3 linked regions of the Callithrix jacchus genome follow. The protein of the gene in region 2 interacts with the protein of the main gene of each other region in a biochemical or structural test. Links are inferred from orthologs where the notes say so. Each region holds a gene or a part of one and is shown on either strand. Other genes may lie near its edges.

Evidence for each region.
Region 1: of the proteins of MCM6 (region 2) and DBF4, one has a biochemical effect on the other in vitro, tested with the Homo sapiens proteins (2 studies listed by BioGRID). The link is inferred for Callithrix jacchus from reciprocal best matches to the Homo sapiens genes MCM6 and DBF4.
Region 3: the proteins of MCM6 (region 2) and MCMBP form a complex in vitro, tested with the Homo sapiens proteins (2 studies listed by BioGRID). The link is inferred for Callithrix jacchus from reciprocal best matches to the Homo sapiens genes MCM6 and MCMBP.

What each region holds. Positions count from the first base shown.
Region 1 is NC_133512.1:61,855,623-61,859,277, forward strand, and holds part of DBF4 (protein DBF4 homolog A), read right to left. Parts: intron 2,968-3,655; coding exon 2,917-2,967; intron 2,491-2,916; coding exon 2,421-2,490; intron 1,817-2,420; coding exon 1,740-1,816; intron 1-1,739. UniProt on the Homo sapiens protein: Regulatory subunit for CDC7 which activates its kinase activity thereby playing a central role in DNA replication and cell proliferation. Required for progression of S phase.
Region 2 is NC_133507.1:94,653,429-94,657,083, forward strand, and holds part of MCM6 (DNA replication licensing factor MCM6), read left to right. Parts: intron 1-156; coding exon 157-302; intron 303-1,263; coding exon 1,264-1,414; intron 1,415-3,655. UniProt on the Homo sapiens protein: Acts as a component of the MCM2-7 complex (MCM complex) which is the replicative helicase essential for 'once per cell cycle' DNA replication initiation and elongation in eukaryotic cells.
Region 3 is NC_133513.1:112,957,415-112,961,069, forward strand, and holds part of MCMBP (mini-chromosome maintenance complex-binding protein), read left to right. Parts: intron 1-1,807; coding exon 1,808-1,893; intron 1,894-2,487; coding exon 2,488-2,628; intron 2,629-2,743; coding exon 2,744-2,785; intron 2,786-3,655. UniProt on the Homo sapiens protein: Associated component of the MCM complex that acts as a regulator of DNA replication.

The sequences.
Region 1 (3,655 bases), on a different chromosome or scaffold from region 2:
TGCCATTTAGCACAGTCCAATACAGAAATATCCACTTGTATTTTGTGAAAATTTGGAAATAGTCATTTAAATTTTTAATCCATAAATGAGACAAATATTGAGTTTTATTTAAATACTAAATACTTTGCTTTCTGCAAATTATTCTAATATACATGTGAATTTATTAAAAATGTGAAATGCATAGAAACTTTATGCATCCTTATATGTGGCATGTATATACTGAGTAGTCATCATGTAAAATGTATTCAACAAAAAATGAGGGTTAAGTGTGGTGGTGCACGGCTGTAATGTCAGCACTTTGGTAAAGCAGAGATGGGTAGATCACTTGAGCTCAGGAATTAGAGACCAGCCTGTGCAACATGATGAAACCCTGCCTCTGCAAAAAATACAAAAACTAGCCAGGTATAGTGGCTTATGCCTGTAGTCCCAGCTAATTGGGAGGCTGAGGTGGGAAGATTGCTTGAGCCTGGGAGGAGGAGGTTGCAGTGAGTTGAGATGGCATCACTGCACTCTAGCCTGGGTAACAGAGGGTAAGCCTATTTAAACAAACAAAAAAAATTGTGTTCAAGAGTGTAAAAGCCATTTTCCAGTCTTGCCAAATAATTCATTCTTAATGGCAACTGGAAGACCTTTCCAAAATGACTATCCAATGAAGTTACTCTTCTATTTATATTAGTTCCATAATTTTCCAAACCCTCCAACATAAAATCTAACTCCTTTATATCATGCAAAACCCTATATAATCTTAACATACTGATTTTTCCAGCTTTATCTTTTGTCACTGGCACATTCAAAGATCAGGTGTATAATGCTATGCAAGATTTCTAAAATATGCCACCCTACTACAGTTTCATGTCTTTATATACAATTTCCTATCAGCTTATTATATTTAGACCCCTGTAATTTAAGTATTGAACAAAGGAAAAGCAGGCCGCAAAAGAAAGGCCTGAGAAATATGAAGAGGCCACGAGAAAGCTAAGAGATGAAATTTCATAAAAGAAAAGTTTAGGGAAGACATGAACAACAGCTGAGAGAACCAATATGTCTGGCTTTTAAAAAGTGTCAAAATGATAAAAAAACTGGTCTGAAATTTTATACTTTGTAGGTTGAAAAGTGAATGGCAAGTATAAAAGTAGAGATTTGAAAGTTTGGTTAAGGAATTTTAAGGATTAGATAATAAGTAGTTAGGGACATGGGATCAAGGCAGGTTTTACTGTATTTGTTTTAAAGGATGGAAAAGGCCTGAATCTGTATAGATGCTTCAAAGAAGCAACAAGGAAAAAGAAAGGGACTGAAGATAATGGGAACATTAGGTTTAACAGAATATAATAACCAATGTGGTTAACAAATACTTCAAGGTAGCCATGCTAAAACAAGATTTTGTTATACCACCATCTAGAGCAGTTGAAAAGGATAGCATAGTAACTTTTATACAATAGGTTGATTTTAGTGTTTTTCTGCAGAATAAACAAAAGTACCTGTTACAAAACAGCAGTAAAAAAGGGGGCTGGGGAAGCGACATATGCCATTATTCCGGAAACAACTTTTACCTGGTGAGTATGACCCTAAAATTAAACGACACATGATTTATTTGAATAACAGAAAAGCCACATAGTACACAGGCTTGTCCCTACGATTATTTTCTTTTTGGCAGGAAAAATTTACAAATACATAAATTAAAAAAAACCAAGCTTGGTCACTTTAAAAATTTAGTTTAAAATTTTAAAAAGAAAACATACCCCATCTCTTACTGAAGTACTTGATTTCTTGAGTAAATACAACTCTTTTTTCTTTTGTTCAATGTAGTATCTTATGTCTTTATTAAAAGAAAGAAGGTTTTAAGATTAGCAATTTTACTTTTGGAATTAAAAAGTCATTTTTTTTGTAGTTAAATTAGATAAAGAATTTGCCATTATAGGTATCCCTTATGTTATGGTCTAAATGTTTGTCTCCTCTAAAACTCATGTTGAAACTTAATCCCCTATGATAGTACTACTGAGAGGTTGGACCTCTAAGAGGGGATTAATGGGTTAATGGATTAATGGGTTATCATGGGAGTGGACCTGATGTCTTTATAAGAGGATGAAAAGACCTGAGTAAACACACACAGCCTCTCAATCATGTGATACCCTGTACTGCCTCAGGACTCTGCAGAGTCTCCACCAGCAAAAAGGCCCTCACCAGATGCAGCCCTTTGAACTTGGACTTCTTAGTCTCCATAACTGTAAAAAACAAATTCCTTTTCTTTGTACATTACCCTTCTTTGTACATTACCCAGTTTCAGGTATTCTGTTATAAGCAGGAGGAAATAGACTCAGACACCCTTGCTATCAAAATTCCACCAGGTAAAGTCAGGAACCAAAGGACAGACATAAACACTTATAACAAATATTGTCAAAAAAAAATTATAAAATCCTTACCATCAATATGAAGAATTTTTACTCCCCATGATAAGGCATTTGATAATATACTATTTGAAGGAATAAAATCCTGTTAAAAAAAGTTTTATAGTTGTTTAAGGAAATTAAGATGACCTAAATTTAGTAAACACTTAACTATTTGAAGCTTAATGTGTCACTAAGGTGGTTATTTGTAACAGACCCTATAGAGTTACAATAGCCAGGACATCAAGATTTTCTTTTGGCTTTTCTAAAATCAATCCCACTTTATAACCACATCCTTGACAATGTAATACATAAGGCAAGTTTCAAGTTTCCAGTAATATTTTAAAAGTCTAGAAGATGGGGATATTTCTCCATGAAAAGTTAAGTTCTGTACTTTGTAAAATAAAATACATGCTGAGATTCAGGCTTTTGCCTACAAATGTGGAAAATATAGTTTCAGGAACATCTGTAATTTCCAGTTGAGTTTTTAGTAACAAAATGTACAGTGTAAATTTTTATAGTTCCTACTTACATGGTCCTTGATAGCTTTTTCAACTAATAATTTTCCTCTACTTAAACACACCTATAAAAAGATCAGAAAAATTTAAAACATAGTGCTTAACTAGAGAACAGGTTAAAAAGGTTAAAGCAGCTAAGAAAAAATTTATTTGTATTAAGTCTTAATGGCTATCAACATAAATATGTGGTCAAAAGTGATTTCTTTTGAGTCTCATATTAAAAAGTTTCTTTCTCTTTGGTTTTGTAGTAAATTATATTTAACATGAGAAATAAAATAGCTAGGTTTCACTGGAATTCTTTATCTATAATTAGTTGGTTTATATTTTGTTTCCTATTAAATCAAAGATTTAAGAAAAACAATAAATCGTATATACTGTTTTTACATGTTATTTCACTTTATTTTTTGGGGGGAGGGAGATGAAGTCTCCCTCTGCCACCCAAGCTGGAGTGCAGTGGTACAATCTCAGCTCACTGCAACCTCAGCCTCCCAGGTTCAAGCGATTCTCCTGCCTCAGCCTCCCGAGTAGCTGGGACTACAGGCATGCGCCACCATGTCCAGGTAGTTTTTAATTTTTTTTTTAGTAGACACAGAGTTTCACCATGTTGGCCAAGCTGGTCTCGAACTCCTGACCTCATGATCCACCTGCCTTCGCCTCCCAAAGTGCTGCGATTATAGACATGGGCTACCACACCCAGTCATTACTTTACTTTTTAAATAAATTTAAATTTCAACTAGGAAAACTAGTTGAAAT
Region 2 (3,655 bases):
AATAAAAACAAATTGGTTTTGCCACAAATGGTGCTTTCTGAAAGTTTTCAAGGCTTAAGTGAAGTCTTTGGATTTATACTTTCATTTATTTGAGCAATTTTGATGTTCAGCTCCTTTATTGTTTAAGTTGTGAAATACCCTGTCATTCTGTTTCAGGAGCACGTGCAGAAACTAATTCCCGTGTCAGTGGTGTTGATGGATATGAGACAGAAGGCATTCGAGGACTCCGGGCCCTTGGTGTTAGGGACCTTTCTTACAGGCTGGTCTTCCTTGCTTGCTGTGTTGCACCAACCAACCCAAGGGTAAGTCGTTTTTAGGTTTTTGTTTGTTTTTGAAACAGAGTCTCTCACTCAGTCTGGAGTGCAATGGCAAAGTCATGGCTCACTACAGTCTCTACTTCTGGGCTTAAGTGATCCTACCACCTCAACCTCCTGAGTAGCTGGGATTATAGGTGCACAGTTAAAAAAAATTTTTTTAGAGATGAGATCTTGCTCTCTTGGCCATGCTGGCCAACAGTGAGTCTTAGAATGACAGCTTAAGAAAGACCTGCCCTTAGACTGCCACAAAGTGATAGGATTCTGAGACATCTAGGTTATCTAGTCAATGTTAAGAGCAGGGGATGGGGTTGAGATTTCATGAGTTTTAAAACCAAATCTTTTGATGTATGTCTTTCTGATCTTGAAAAAAAAATGTCTTATTTGATGTCTTACATAAGAGCTCAATGCTTTACATGCAGTGGTACAAATTATCCACCCTGCTTTTAAGTTTTACAGTTCCTCTGTTATACTTCTGGAGGAAATATAAATAAAAAGATTTAGTAATCTGGGAAGTAAATTTCTAAGAACGATGAACCCTGGGCAGTATCGTTCAGTTAACTTGATTCTGTGTCATAAATGAGAATTTGGAAAATAGTTCAGTGTTGGAAAAAAGAGAGTGAACATCATGTTATTTGCATCTTTATGTCAGTGATGAACATTCTACTCATCTCTTGAGCATTCAGATTGTTTTAAATATAGGTATAAAACAGTAGTGGTAGCTTTTTTTTCTTTTTCACTCACTGGACAAATGACAAACCCTAAGTGTCTTTGTTAACTGAGGGCTTACTAGTTTGGGGAATTTATTTTATTATTATTTTTTAATTTACAGTCAATAAATTGTTAGGTTGACTTCCCATGCTATGTTGTTTGTAATGAAGTTTCTTCTCCTTTACACTGTTTTTATTGCTTCTGTACTAATAATTCTTCCTTTGTTCTCTACCCTTAGTTTGGAGGGAAAGAGCTCAGAGATGAGGAACAGACAGCTGAGAGCATTAAGAACCAAATGACCGTGAAAGAATGGGAGAAAGTGTTTGAGATGAGTCAAGATAAAAATCTATACCACAATCTTTGTACCAGCCTATTCCCTACTATACATGGTAAGAATTCCATTCCATCCATAGCATAAACTTGAAATCAAAATAATGATTATAAATAGCCACAAATGATTTCTTAAAGCATGTAAATCAGACAATGAAAGTTTTTAGTGAGTCTAAAAGGTCACCTCAAAAGGACAGGTACGTGATTTCGCTTACACGAGGTACCTCTAATACGCGAATTCATAGAGAGAAGGTAGGATAGAGGTTACCAATGGCTGGGGAAATGAGAGAAATGAGTTATTTAATGGATAAAGTTGCTATTTGGGATGACGACAAAGTTCTGGAAAGGGATAGTGGTGACAGTTATACAACATAATGTACTGACTGCCACTGAACTATACACTGAAAAATGGTTAAAATGATGAGTTTATTATCTATTTTTATCATATTTTTTTTTTTTTTTTTGAGACGGAGTCTTACTCTGTCACCAGGCTGGAGTGCAGTGGCGCAATCTCGGCTCACTGCAACCTCCACCTGGGTTCAAGCGATTCTTTCGCCTCAGCCTCCCGAGTAGCTGGGACCACAGGTGCGTGCCACCACGCCTGGCTAATTTTTGTATTTTTAGTAGAGACGGGGTTTCACCATGGCCAGCATGGTCTCGATCTCTTGACCTCGTGATCCGCCCGCCTTGGCCTCCCAAAGTGCTGGGATTACAGGCGTGAGCCACCAAGCCCGGCCTATCACAATTTTTTTTAAGAAAAGGTCATTTTGTCATCTTATTTCCTGGCCTTGTGACAGAACTGCACTTAAGTGTGTTTCAATATGATAGACTAGTCTCCTAGCCTTTTGTTGTTTTGCATGCATGCGCATGCATGTGTGTTTTAAAGAGACAGGGTCTTGCTATGTTATCTAGGCTGAAGCAGTCCCTACTGGGCTAAAGCAGTCCTCCTACCTCCAGCCTCCCCAGTAGCTGGGATTACAGGTGTAGGCCACCACTTTTGGCGCTTGTATCTTTTTTTTTCTTTTGAAACATGGGTCTTGCTTTGTTGCCCAGGCTGGAGTGCAGTGGCGTGATCTTGGCTCACTGCAGCCTCCGCCTCCTGGGTTCAAGTGATTCTCCTGGCTCAGCCCTTCCAAGTAGCTGGGATTATAGGCACCTGCTACCATGCCAGACTAATTTTTGTATTTTTAGTAGAGATGGGATTTTTGCCATGTTGGCCAGGCTGGTCTCGAACTCCTGGCCTCAAGTGATCTGCCTTGGCATCCCAAAGCGCTGGGATTACACGGGTGAGCCACTGCACTCTGCCCTTTATTTCTATCTAAATATAAGTTAGAGAAGTTTTGTTTGTGGAATGGGTTTTTAATTTTCTACCACTTTTGTTTTGTTTTGTTTTTTGAGACAGGGTCTCACTCTGTTGCCCAGACTGGAGTGCGGTGGCAGCGAACATGGCTCATGACAGCCTCAACCTCCTGGGCCTCAGCAGTTCCCCACCACAGCCCCCATATTAGCTGGGATTACAGATGCTTGCCACCATGCCAACCTAATTTAAAAAGAAAAATTTTTTTAGAGATGGGGTTTCAACCATGTTGCGTGGGCTAGTCTCAAACTTCTGGGCTCAAACAATCCTCCTCCTTGGCCTTCCAGAATGCTCAGATTACAGGCATGAGCCACCACACAGAGCCTAATTTTCCACATTAAGGAATGCCTAATGTAAGTTTGCATAGCACTTTGTTGATGGAGTTCACAGAGTCGATAATTCCACAGAAAAATGTTTCTTTGAATAGCAGTGTTCTTTTTAAAGAAAATTACACTTTTTCTTCTTGGATTTATGAACTAAGCAGCTGTAAATTGTATTCAGCATCTTATTTAATCCACATGAATTCGGTTAACGTATTTATTCAGTGCTGGTCACTGTAGGTATTAGAAAAGAAATGTTATGAACCATTTCCTCAAACACTTGAAAGAACTATGAGAACAGCCATTAAAAAGGACTAGCAAATGTGGTAGGCTTTGGTGGACGTAGTTTATTTATCAGGAGACAGGGCTAAGGCATTGGGTGAGGTTTTGTGTAGGAAGTAGGACTCATGGACAAGTAAAGGCTCTTAGGATGGTGAGCACTGGCATCTGTGACATTTGTGGTATAGGAGAAAACATTCGAACTGTGGTTTAGGTGCCTAAGTCCACGGAGCAAGAACCAAGGTCAGAGCCAGATATTATTACTCCAGTTTTATGCTTTGCTTTAGCTGACTTTGCCTTTTGGTTAGTAAACATGCCTTTATCGTTTCCTCTAAAAGTGTTTA
Region 3 (3,655 bases), on a different chromosome or scaffold from region 2:
CCTAGTAATTTGCATTTATAAAAAGGATTCGGGTGGTGCTAATGATGCTGTTCAGGGAACCAACTTTGAGGACCAGTTTACTACTGGATTTAACATCTGGGCGTCATAATCATCTGAGGAGTCACCCATCCCTACTTCTTTTTCAGAACTGGCCTTTGTCCAGTTAAGTAACCGTGTTTGGAAGTCCTGCTCAAACATGGTGTTAGGATTGTATGAGCATTTTCAACAAATTCAGCTCCATAACAAGTGTAGAATTTTTGTTTTGTACTCCAAATCTTCATAACACTTGTGTGATGAATACAGATGGTGGCAGGATTGGCCCACTGTGTGGTTTGGTGGTTTTAGTTCACATAAATCTGTATTCCATCAAATAGCTCACTTTTTGGTCTTAGCCAGTTCCCGTAAGTGCCTTCTGTAGATGACATGCTAATTGTAAGGAGTAAATAAACTACACAGTAGATAAATGGACTATCACTTTGACTGGGTGATCAAAATTAACGTCACCAACGAAGGGAAGATGAACATCATGTCTTTCCAGATACCTAGAAGGACAAAATATCACTTAAACAGTAGTTTGAAACCATCATTTAAACAGCAGTTTGGTTATACTTGATTGGAATCTAATCATAAGGGAACCAACAAATCCAAATTGAGAAGCATTCAATGTTTTAAAAAGGACCTTATTCTTCTTAAATAGCAATGTCATAAAATATAAAGCTTGAGGAACTATTTCAGATTAAAGGGGAGTAAAGAGACCTGATAGCTAAATGCAAAAGTGATCCTAGGCCAGATCCTGTACTGAAGGGTAAAAAGTGCTACAGAGGATAGTATTGGGTCAATTTTGAATTTCCTGAGGTTGGTAACAGTACTACGGTTATAGAAGATAGTTTCCTTAGGAGATACACTGAAATATTTTAAGGCAAAAATACGTGATAGTACAACTTAATCTTTTGTTTGTATGTTTGATTTTTTGAGATGGAGTTTCGTTCTTGTTGCCCAGGCTGGAGTGCAGTGGCACGATCTTGGCTCGCCACAACCTCCACCTTCCAGATTCAAGCAGTTCTCCTGTCTCAGGCTCCCCGATAGCTGGGATTACAGGCATGCGCCATCACGCCTGGCTAATTTTATATTTTTAGTAGAGATGGGGTTTCTCCATGTTGGTCAGGCTGATCTCAAACTCCCAACCTCAGGTGATCCCCCCCACCTCAGCCTCCCAAAGTGCTGGGATTGTGGGCGTGAGCCACCACACCCAGCCTATGCAACTTATATGAGTCAGAAAAATAATAAGAGATGGAGCAAATGATAAGCAAGTGAGGCAGGGATACAGGTGTTATTCCCAATTTTTTTGAATCTGGAATTATTCCCAAATGAAATTGTAAACAAACTTCAGCTCTTCATTTCAGGATAGTTGTAAAGATTAACTAAAAACTACATAAAAAGATTTTAAAAGAACAAAGTGCTTTACAAGCAGTGGCTCATATGCTGCTGAATCTAGGTAGCCTTGTATCTCATTCTGTAGGTGTCCCCAGCTTCACTGTGGGTACCAGAGAGCTGGCAGGAAGTCAACATCCTCCTGATTTATAACTGTCCCTCTCCCGGACCAGTACAGTTTCTTGAATATGTCTTGTGTAGTACTTCAGACATGCTGAAGTATAAAATTCATCCTTCTAGCTAGAGTTCATTCTATCATAGTAGCAAATTTTAGTTTGGTTTTTGCTGGCTAAACTATTGTGTGACTCACCTGATCATAGTCTCTGATTATATATTGCCTGTATATTAGCTTTGAAAAGTACATTTCTCTTTTCAGCCCAAAATGGAGTTAATCCTGACTGGGAGAAGAAAGTAATTGAGTATTTTAAGGAAAAGCTGAAGGAAAATAATGCTCCTAAGTGGGTAAGCTTATTGCTGTTTTTGGGGGAGAGGGTTGGGCAGACTGTACAGTTTCTCTTGGTAGAGTAGTAACACACATGTAATTTTAAAATATGTGGATTAATGTGTACTTCTGCTTCAAGTAAGTATGAAAAGACTTTCGTCTCTTGCTAATTAAGCAAATAAATACTAATACATTATGCCTCTAGGTGGCAGTAACTGACTGTATTGCTTCCTAAGACAAATCTTTAGTTGCAAAAGCATCAATTACCTTTGTTTTATTATCTTCATTTTGAAAGAATTGGCGTATGCTAGTTTTAAGAGAAGAGCTCAACCAGGTGAATGCCTTTTTGCTAATTGAAAAGTGTTCTAAATGAAAAACATTTTTTAGCATTCTTTTACATTATGGTCAAATGTTATCTAAACTGGGAAGAACTGGAAGAGAACTTATCCCCAGAATTATGTTGGCCAGTGAGATCATTTGGCTCCCTGGCCAATGATGAGGTATGGGTGGGTGTGTGTTTAACAGTTTGAGTCTGGATATAAAGTTTGTGTATGTATGCTTCATGTTGTATAGACGGGATATTTAGTTGACTTACTTGATTATTTTCTTTTAAGGTACCATCACTGAATGAAGTTCCCCTTCATTATTTGAAACCTAATAGTTTTGTGAAATTTCGTTGCATGATTCAGGATATGTTTGACCCTGAGTTTTACATGGGAGTTTATGAAACAGTTAATCAAAACACAAAAGCACATGTAAGTATTGCTGTTTTCCTGAATTTGTGATATTAATTTTGTTCTTGTGCTGTTTGTGGTAGTTTTGGTTCTGATATATTGATATAATTCTGTTTTCCTCTGTTTTGGGTCATAGGTTCTTCATTTTGGAAAATACAGAGATGTAGCAGAGTGTGGGGTATGTATCTTTAATATATGTAAAACATTTTTAGTAAGAATTTTTCCTAAGCAGAGAATTTGTAATTTGGCTAATCTTAAATTTGTTTATCTTGTGTATAAGTCATAAGAAATCATGTGAAATGTTTTCTTTCTTTTTTTGGGGGGGGGGAAGATTTATTACTTCCAGACAGCAAGGAACAACAGAAACCCAGGATTCAAGTTGAGTGGGTCTCCAAGCCTTAGAAAAGCTGTCCAGAGTAGAGGGAGTCATGTACCCCACTTGCACAAATAAAGAAATGTTTTCTTTATTTGGCTTTATTTAAGAGTTTGATGTGACGTTTTTATTCTTCTAAAGATCTTTTAGAAGGGAAAATACTGTTAATGCCAAAATTAATTTCTCTCTCCCATATCCATATATAATATATATGTAAAACAAAATACCCTAGGTTGCAAAATTAAATTCTTTTTTATTCTTTCAAAGACAAAGCCGGTGGCAATCCCACTGTTTTTCATAGAAAACTGTCAGGATCACCTGTAATATAGAAATTTAGTGAAATAATCATTCCTAGGTAGCTCTGAGATGAGATTCAAAAGTCAGATATTACTCCCTAGGAAAGGCATATTCTCTTTCAAATATACTTAGAAAACTCTAAGAGGTAGAAGGGACCCAAGAGACATCAAGTTTGAGCCTAATGCATACAAGCTAGGATTTTTTGTTTGCTTTTCTTTCTAGGCCCAAGGTACCTTTTTCCTAAAATGACTCTTTTATTTATGATTTTTCAGCAACATGTGTACTGACTCTCTCTTAGCCTTTAATAGTGTCACACATGGGCAGCCTCTTCTCTTTTATTGGCCCATTTCCAGATATTGAGATTACTAAGTTATATTA